2 linked regions of the Arabidopsis thaliana genome follow. The protein of the gene in region 1 interacts with the protein of each later gene in a pairwise test. Each region holds a gene or a part of one and is shown on either strand. Other genes may lie near its edges.

Region 1 (4,861 bases):
AATCTCCTTTTCACTATACTAATAAACCTTTACAAAAGATTTGTGTTTTCTCTTTAGTCTAAGTTTAACTTCAAATTCAACTAAGCTGTCACATAATTTGTATCTGCCGACTTAAACTTGATGGCTCGTTTTATTTGTAATGAAAATATATTAAAAAAAAAACATGTGCCATAATAAGTCGATAACCTCAAAACTAAGAATTATTTAAAGTTTTTGAAATAAAAATCAGTCAGTCATAATATTAATTTCACAAATAATGAGTTAATAAAGTTTATTTGATTAAATTATTTATGGTAATTAACTACACCTTATCATGTATACAATAAATACATGTCAATCTTCTTATATTCAATTAAATGTGGAAAATAAAATCAAGAAACCTTGACATAACTACTCAAAATAAATGATGAAGAGATGACATTAACAATTGGTAGCAACAACAATATACTAATAATTGACACAAATCAATAATCTTCGGTCTTCGTTCAAAAACAGTAAATGTTTGGTCCAAGAGAAGAAATACAGTTTGGTCCATCAATGCTGCACGAGCTAAGCAAATATTCAGCTAAGATCCGAAATCTGAACTCTAGCTGTGTTAAGTACTCTTTGTTTTAAAATATACTTCCTACGTTCTAAATTAAGTGTCATTTTACATATATACTAAATTTTGTTTTAAAATAAATGTTGTTTTATATTTGTAATGCCGACTTTTGATCAAAGTTACAACTGAATCTATTGATTTAGTGAATTGACGGTTATTTTTTGTATATTGATAAAAAGTAAAAAAAAAATGTTTCTTCTCTCCGTTTTAATTAATTTATCATTTTACCACTTAAATTTTGTCTCGTTGTCATTTTAGATCTTTAAGGCAAATGTTTGGTAAAAATTCCAGTTTTTTCCTCAAAGTTTTGATATCTTGACCAATTAAAACATTTAGAGAATATATTGAGTAAAAATAAAATAAAATTTAATTATTTTCTTAATTGATGTGCAAAAACCTTAAAAGACAAATACTTTAAAGCAGAGGAAGTATTTGTTTTCTTAATATTCTATGTATTATATCAAAACCTTATATGGCACTTATTAATAAATGGTGAGAGTATGGTGTTTTAGATAAAACACACACACTTTAAGAAATTTATCTTTTCTTTAACAACTATCATTTAATACTTGATTAAAGAAAATTCAATTAATTATATAAAAGACTGCAAAATACAAATATCCATTAAAAACAAATATATTTACAGTTAACATAGAAATCTGTAAAACATCATATATATAATGAAAAACAGAATCTCTAAAGTATCATATTATACTATAATAAAACAGATGGAGTATTTTTTGACCAGAAAAAAAAACTTTAAATTTTGTATATATCTTATATATGTAATTGAATACTGCTTGGAAATTCAAGTGAAGAGTCAATAACCAAAATAAAATCCATTTCAACATTTTGTGGAGAAATTTTTTACAACAGTAAGAAGGGAAATGACTTGATTAGTATATATAAATGATATGAGATAATCTTGTTATTAACCTTTGAGTTGGAACCATGAAACTTAACATAGTATTAGATTCTGAACAACATATGTTGTCTTGTTTCCGGTCGAAAAAATTGCCGACCATCCTACTAATTGATGGTCCAATAGAATTTTCAATTCCGTTGAGATAGATAGGATAGTATTATCAAAAATTTCATAAGAATTTGTAACATATCCATTTGTATGAATGTTTAAGTGTAAACATCTGTATATATTTTTATATGAAACCCATGGATTAAGAATTATTGTGAAGCTGAAATTTATTGGAGTTGAAAACTTAGGTGGTGTGTAATGAAGGTGAGATGTATATGTTCAAGCACATTTAAAACATACGTTCCCATTCTTATTTGACGTGATTATTAAATGGCCACTAAATGAACAGCGCAAAGTTTAATTTAATAGTATTATTACTATCATCTTTAATTTAATCCCAACTACTCATATTTTGTGGAGATTTTAGTTTCTTCGAGATCGATCACTAACCTATCATCACATCTGTCCAATTAAAGAGGAGAAGAAACAAATCTTGGAGGCAAGTATAAAGAGCCTCACAAGCCAGAAAGTCACAACACTACAAGAAAAATCAAACCAAATTAAAAGTACTCATAGATATCAAATTCCAATGGATTGTGTTCCTTCATTGTTTATGCCTGATTCAACCTACGAAGATGGATTACTATTTTCTGATTCTTTTCTTCTTTCTCCGTTTATATCATACCAAAACAATGATGTTTTCCATTCGATCACAAACAAAATTGGTGGAAGCAATAAGAAACGAAGTTTGTGTGATATAACATATGGTGCGAATGAAGCCAACAAAAATGATGATGATCGAGAGAGCAAGAAGATGAAACATAGAGACATTGAAAGGCAAAGAAGACAAGAAGTTTCATCTCTTTTCAAAAGACTAAGAACTCTCTTGCCATTTCAATATATCCAGGTAAGTTATCTAGTGGGAGATATTTCATTATGATTAGCTTGAGAAATATTTTATATTTTTATCTCTATATATAGTCCTTAATTACATACTAATTTACAAAACCATTTCATTTGTTAAAGTGCAAGCGAGCAGTTTTCTTTCCATTGAAAAGGAAAGTATATAGAGAACCTTAGTTTTGAAAGCTTTTACTAACTATTCGATCATTCATGCTTTCGTATATACTTTTAAAACAATTTTTTTACATAATTAAATCTTTCGTATATATATTGTGGTACCACTTTATACATAGAATTAGAAACTCTTACACATTCGTATTAATATCTAAAATATATAAATTGAAATTTTGACAAATAGTTTTTTTTTTCAACGTAGTGTAATACTCGAATTTTGGATACCACATCAAGGAAACATCTTCTTAAACTGATGAGTTCATTCTTTTTTCTTAACACTAGTTAATATATCCAAGTACATTCTTGAATCAAATAATTGCTAGTTAGTTGTTCTAAGCATGACCATATCATTTAACATACAGGGTAAACGCTCGACATCAGATCACATCGTGCAGGCAGTGAACTACATCAAAGACTTACAAATCAAAATCAAAGAACTCAACGAAAAGAGAAATCGGGTAAAAAAAGTCATATCGGCCACAACTACTACTCATTCAGCTATAGAGGAATGCACCAGTAGTTTATCATCATCAGCAGCATCAACACTATCATCAAGCTGCTCATGTGTAGGAGACAAACACATTACTGTTGTGGTCACACCTTGTTTAGTTGGTGTTGAGATCATCATAAGTTGTTGTCTCGGACGAAACAAGTCTTGTCTCTCGAGTGTTCTTCAAATGTTAGCTCAAGAACAAAGGTTCAGTGTAGTTAGTTGCCTCTCAGCTAGACGGCAACAGAGATTCATGCACACCATTGTTTCGCAGGTAAAATTGTTACTAAAAATATAAAGAGAAAAGGTTACAAGAATTTACAAACTTTTGGGTCTATCATAGTTGCTAATATCAGTTTTTAGTTCACATACCATTTTATTTGCTAATTTCTATACAAATTATAATCTGTTTGTAAACTACTTTTGTGGTTATCAAAAATACAATGAATATACTTACCTGAAATTAGAATTAGATAAATAAATTACTAATTTTCTAAAAAAAAGTTTTAGTGTTTGATCTTTTCTTGCCTTAATTTTCTAAAAACAAAATTGACACTAATCATCATTTCATTTCAAATTTTCAGGTGGAGGATGGCAAACAGATCAATATTTTGGAGCTTAAGGATAAAATAATGACTATGTAGCCCCATGTACAAGAAGAAAATTAGTTACTATGACAAATGAAAATATTACGTGGTTTGAAATTGGAATTTTACTGAATTTCAATGTATGCATTATTTGAGTTGTTAGATACTAAGATCATGCTATTTTAGTGTATCGGCTTACTTCTGAGTGCTTAGATTAATGTTACAAACTAATGCTTGTTTTTCATTTTTTTTTTTGTAAAATAAAGTTTGTTTTTCTTGGCATTCTAATTATGATATACTTCATTTTAATTACTATTATTAAATAGAAAATATATGATCGTTACAAGGGTGTATATATAGAATCTCTAAAATATGGATAAAACATCTCCAAACATATGCAAGTCCAATCTTAGTAAAAAGCTTAGGAAAAGTGGTAATTACAAGAAACATGAGAGATTCTTGACTGGCTAGTTGGAGATATGGAAATGATAATCAATTAGTCATTTGCTCAATAATTTCTTTGGGATTAAAATACCCTATTGGACAACAATTTTTCCATTAACATTCCTTTAAAAATCGGTCACAAGTGATTTTTTTGATAGATATAAAAATTGGGACCTTGCTAAACTTGTAACAAAATCATATCTTAACATGTTAGGTACGTTCATTTTTGAAATTTGAATGAATAATTAAAAAAATATAATTTGTAGCTTTCTTTAGATATCATCATATTCTTCAATAGATTTATAAGTTTTAGGAGAATGTCGACATTATCCTAGTTCGAAAATTGGTTGTGGAGAATAGTCTAATTGGTCTTTGGTCCGAATACGATACGTGGTGTCAAAACATATTCCCTCTCATAATATAACAAAAGAAAAGAAGCAATCTCATTATTCTGCCAGTGATTAATAAATGAAGTGATATGTTATCAACTAGACACCTTTTGTTATAAATTTGACCAAAACAAAAAAAATGAAAGAAAAATATATGAAGACATTAGAAAGTAAAACTAACTAATAAAATAATTAGAATGCGAAGGGAGGCACAGACCAAAACAAACATGAACGCACGTCCATTACTTACTTGTTCATACTCTTCTTTCATAGTGTTTCTCACGTTGAAACCAATTTTTT
Region 2 (4,805 bases), 4.0 Mb from region 1:
CAGCACCAGTTTCAAAGCTAATTACTATTGCCTGTTCAAGGTCATCCATTGTGTTAACTTAACCCCACTACAAAAACCCTAAAAACCGAGATTTCAAAATCCAGTCCTGGTTTGTTGCATACAAGTCAAACAATGCCTTGAATTAGTATCGTCAGCTAGCTTCTCTCCTTCACTGTTCTCTTCCCTTATCAGATTTTGATGCGAAGAAGAAAAAGACGAAACTTTTAGTGGGTTTCGCTTGAGAGCTTACCAGAAAGTAAGGATCGTGGCGATTTTAGCGATCGGATTTATGAGAGTGGGAGATATAGTAGAAAAGGGATTATGGAAACCCTAGTTTGGGTTTCTCTTTGAATTCAAAGAATACTTTTTTTTGGTGAGTTTCTAGAAAATTTCCCTTACGGATTTATAAATATGAGGAAAATTGTGAGACTGGAGAGAAGACGGAGCTGTAGGGTTTTTTTTTTTTTATACACAGATTTTTATTAGCTTGCAGAATATTTTCCCAGAGAACTATAAATATTATTGCCAGCGAATTGAAAATTAACCGTCATCTGAATTCAGTAAATCAGCCCATGGGCTTGAATCTCTCTCACCTTAGGCCTTAGGTGTTGCATACTGATAGATTAAGATAGACATGTATAAATGTTTTGTGAGTTAGCAAATATAATGGTGTTTTTTCACTTTCTTAATCTAATGTTTTATAAAACAAATTGTCACATTAATACATATAACTAAACTACTTACTGTGAAATTATTCATGGAGACAACTTCTGTAGCTAAGACCTCTCGATTTTTATTTTGTATACTACAAACTAGGTAATTGTAAGAAAAGGTTTGTTCTGTAATGGCATTGTCGATTACCTCGTAGAAGAGGTTGGAATATTTCCGATGCCCGTAGCAAGATATAAAATCACAAATTCATTTTTCAGTTGTTAAAGAAAACAATTGTGGCTTTTTGTGTAGAACGACATTTCGTTATGTGGGTGGCGAGTATGGACAAACTACCCACTAAGTCTTGGTTAACAGCTTGGAACACAATTTCATTTTCTATCTATAAGCAACATATGCAATATAATCAACCAAATAAGAGAGATCACTTATTCTTTTGTTCTATCATATTTTGTGTGTCTGTTTTCAAAGGTTATACCGTCACATTATCCGCTTCTCACACTTGAGGCAAATTTTATGAGTTAGATAGCATATTGCCAAACACTCCAGCTATATATATCTTTTATCTTTTAGATTGATCTTTGTCTAATCTGCGAAAACAGCAAGATCATTTCAGGCTTCTCCATCACAGTTAGAATCATTTTCAAACGGATCGATTGAATGAGCAATCAAAAACACATTTTTATCGTCTAAGGAGAAATTTCCTTGCAATACTACTAATTTTAGTACAAATTTTGTTTACTTTTAAATTATGTAATGTTCTTTAAGTTTATTAAAAAATATCCCAAATTATATCGAAAGAAAGACATTAATAAAAGAAATGTATTATTGTCTAATTAACATATTTCGAAAGAAACAAAATACTGACTTTTTTAAGCGCTACTGTGTGCTTTTTTTACGGAAAAGTTAATCAAATACCAAAGAACGAAAATTTTCATTGTAGTGTGTCATGTGTATCTCCCATATATATATACGTATACATCGAAAAGATCCGAGGGAGAGTGGGCACAAAACTCTAGAAGTCAGATGCAAGTGTGTGTGAAAGAGAATGTGAAAGAGTGAGGGAGAGAGAAACTTCCTCTTCCTTTCTTTCATGCTTACGACAAAACTTCACCGCCACCTGTTTTGTCTCAAATCTTTTTTCCACCTTTTTAATTATATAATTTATTAAATGTTTTAGACTTATGAAAAATATTAATGTATATTCGCACGTATGAGACTACAAATCATATAAAACGAAACCCTATACATATAAACTAAGAGCGAGAAAGACAGCTAGAGAGAGAGAGAGAGATGAAGAAATGGTTGGGATTTTCATTGACACCTCCTTTGAGAATCTGCAATAGTGAAGAAGAAGAACTTAGGCATGACGGTTCCGATGGTACTCTCTTCTTCACACATCATCCCCCTGGTATATATATGTTGTTGGTGTGGCCACTATTAATATTCTTAATTTGATTTCTATTTTATGTGTAGTTTGGAGATATGATATTAACTTTGATCATCATCATCATGATGAAGACGTTCCAAAGGTGGAAGATCTCCTCTCAAACTCTCATCAAACCGAGTATCCTATAAACCATAACCAAACCAATGTCAACTGCACCACTGTGGTTAACAGGTTAAACCCACCCGGTTACCTTCTCCACGACCAAACCGTAGTTACACCACATTACCCGAACCTAGATCCGAACCTTAGCAATGATTATGGAGGTTTTGAGAGGGTCGGTTCGGTCTCGGTTTTCAAATCTTGGTTAGAGCAAGGCACTCCAGCATTCCCACTCTCGAGTCATTACGTTACTGAAGAGGCTGGTACGAGCAATAATATTAGTCATTTTAGTAACGAAGAGACTGGTTATAACACCAATGGCTCAATGCTATCATTGGCTTTGAGCCATGGGGCTTGTTCTGATTTGATCAACGAATCGAATGTATCCGCACGGGTCGAAGAACCGGTTAAGGTAGATGAGAAGCGGAAGAGATTGGTTGTTAAACCTCAGGTAAAGGAATCCGTTCCTCGGAAGTCGGTTGATAGTTATGGACAAAGAACTTCTCAGTATCGTGGAGTTACAAGGTACGTACGTTATTAAATAATGACGTCTCAAACATTTGTTTTGGTTTAAATGATGTCTCAAACTTACACGTAAGAAAAATGTGAATGCCACAATTATGTTACTTATGTATATTTGTCATTTTATTTTGTAGATTATGTATAATTGTGTCGACACATATTTATGTTGTGCGTGTATACAGGCATAGATGGACAGGGAGATATGAAGCTCACTTATGGGATAATAGCTGTAAGAAGGAGGGACAGACAAGGAGAGGAAGACAAGGTCAGAAAAAACAAATACAAAATAATTTTCCGATTCAATATGCTATCATGCATCAATAATCTTACTAACAATTATTTAATTTTGGCTTCGTATGTACTTTCGAATTCGCTTCTTGATCAATCACAGTGTATCTTGGTAAGCCAGAACTTTATTTTACAACCTATTATGCATGAGATCCCTCGTTCATTTCTTGTTGCCCTATTTTTGGCCTTCGAAGTAAAAATTAACCTTGTTACCTTCTGATAATTATAGAAAAACATTTAATAGTAGAATTAATACTTACTAAAATAGGAGGGTATGATGAGGAGGAGAAAGCAGCGAGGGCATATGATTTAGCGGCTCTGAAGTATTGGGGTCCTACCACTCACTTAAATTTCCCTGTGAGTTTGATCTTTCTGGTCCCGTACCTAGCTCCACTTCTAACTCCTTTATTACATGCAAGTGTGTTTTATATATGTACACTTATATACATGCAACATAACAGTTTCCATACTTATTTCGATATTTTGGATCTTGAATGTAATCATTTTCCGATTTTATTGACTTGATTTTGATGGAACTACATAGATTTGGCTTGTGATATCAGTTCCTTTGACGCTCTTTTATTCAGTTGAGTAATTACGAAAAGGAGATCGAGGAACTCAATAACATGAATCGGCAAGAATTTGTTGCCATGTTGAGGAGGTAATTACTCAACAGTGGGTTTGTAATGATATTTATGGACCTTATATAGTCATATGCATTTAACCATTAACAAACGCTTTGTAATTACATATCATAATCATAGGAATAGCAGCGGGTTTTCGAGGGGAGCTTCCGTGTATAGAGGAGTTACAAGGTTTGATTTGGACATATATGTGAAACTTGTATATATTTATATATGTACATGTACATGCATGGAATTAGATCATGATGATCATGCATGTATAACTCATGTAGGCATCATCAACATGGAAGGTGGCAAGCCAGAATTGGAAGAGTTGCTGGAAACAAGGACTTGTACCTTGGAACATTTAGTATGAACCACTTCTATACATATGGAATTATATCATAGCCTTTGAATTATTAAATATCACATTTTGTAACTATGATGAAGGCACGCAAGAAGAAGCAGCGGAGGCGTACGATATCGCGGCAATTAAATTCAGAGGCCTAAACGCTGTAACCAATTTCGATATAAATAGATATGACGTGAAGAGGATATGTTCAAGCTCAACGATTGTTGATAGCGACCAGGCCAAACATTCTCCCACCAGCTCTGGCGCCGGCCACTAACCGACACCGTAAACTCCTCGCCGGAGAGACTATTCCCACGTACGGTTGGTTTGAGGAAATAAGTTCGTCCAGTCTGTTTAATCATTTATGGTTTAATAAACATATATTCCTAAGTAATTGAGGCCGGTCTACATATATACAACTTTTTTAGCAAATTAAGTTATCAGAATCCACTATATATTATTCTCTATGATATACTTTGATTAAATTTCGTTTTTATTTTTAATTGAAAAAAGTTAATGCATTCATTATTTACAGGATCCATAACATAAGTGTTAATTAATTAGTATATATTAACTGCACCAAGTTGAGGAGAGGCGATTCCTCAATTTGTGTGCCTTCTTCTGTCGTGGTCGTACTTTAAGGAAAAGCGTTACAAATTTAAGTGAAACTTATTTAACTCATAATCAAATCCATCCAAGCCTTTGATAGTTTGATTAATTTTGAACCCGTATCGAGCTAATTCCCTCATGCCATGGTGAAAATAATTGGTGTCAATGGAAATTTGAAGGTTTCTATGGACTT

What was found.
Region 2: the proteins of AT1G62975 (region 1) and AT1G72570 interact in a two-hybrid assay, tested with the Arabidopsis thaliana proteins (one large-scale study listed by BioGRID).

What each region holds. Positions count from the first base shown.
Region 1 is NC_003070.9:23,326,738-23,331,598, forward strand, and holds AT1G62975 (basic helix-loop-helix (bHLH) DNA-binding superfamily protein), read left to right. Parts: upstream 1-1,989; 5' UTR 1,990-2,163; coding exon 2,164-2,481; intron 2,482-3,013; coding exon 3,014-3,415; coding exon of another isoform or gene 3,416-3,439; exon of another isoform or gene 3,440-3,725; coding exon 3,726-3,785; 3' UTR 3,786-4,075; downstream 4,076-4,861. Other genes in the region: AT1G62978 (uncharacterized protein), read right to left, coding at 4,725-4,861.
Region 2 is NC_003070.9:27,329,419-27,334,223, forward strand, and holds AT1G72570 (Integrase-type DNA-binding superfamily protein), read left to right. Parts: upstream 1-1,962; coding exon 1,963-2,050; intron 2,051-2,145; coding exon 2,146-2,743; intron 2,744-2,922; coding exon 2,923-3,005; intron 3,006-3,131; coding exon 3,132-3,140; intron 3,141-3,296; coding exon 3,297-3,385; intron 3,386-3,615; coding exon 3,616-3,689; intron 3,690-3,792; coding exon 3,793-3,843; intron 3,844-3,944; coding exon 3,945-4,021; intron 4,022-4,101; coding exon 4,102-4,280; downstream 4,281-4,805. Other genes in the region: PSD (ARM repeat superfamily protein), read right to left, coding at 1-49.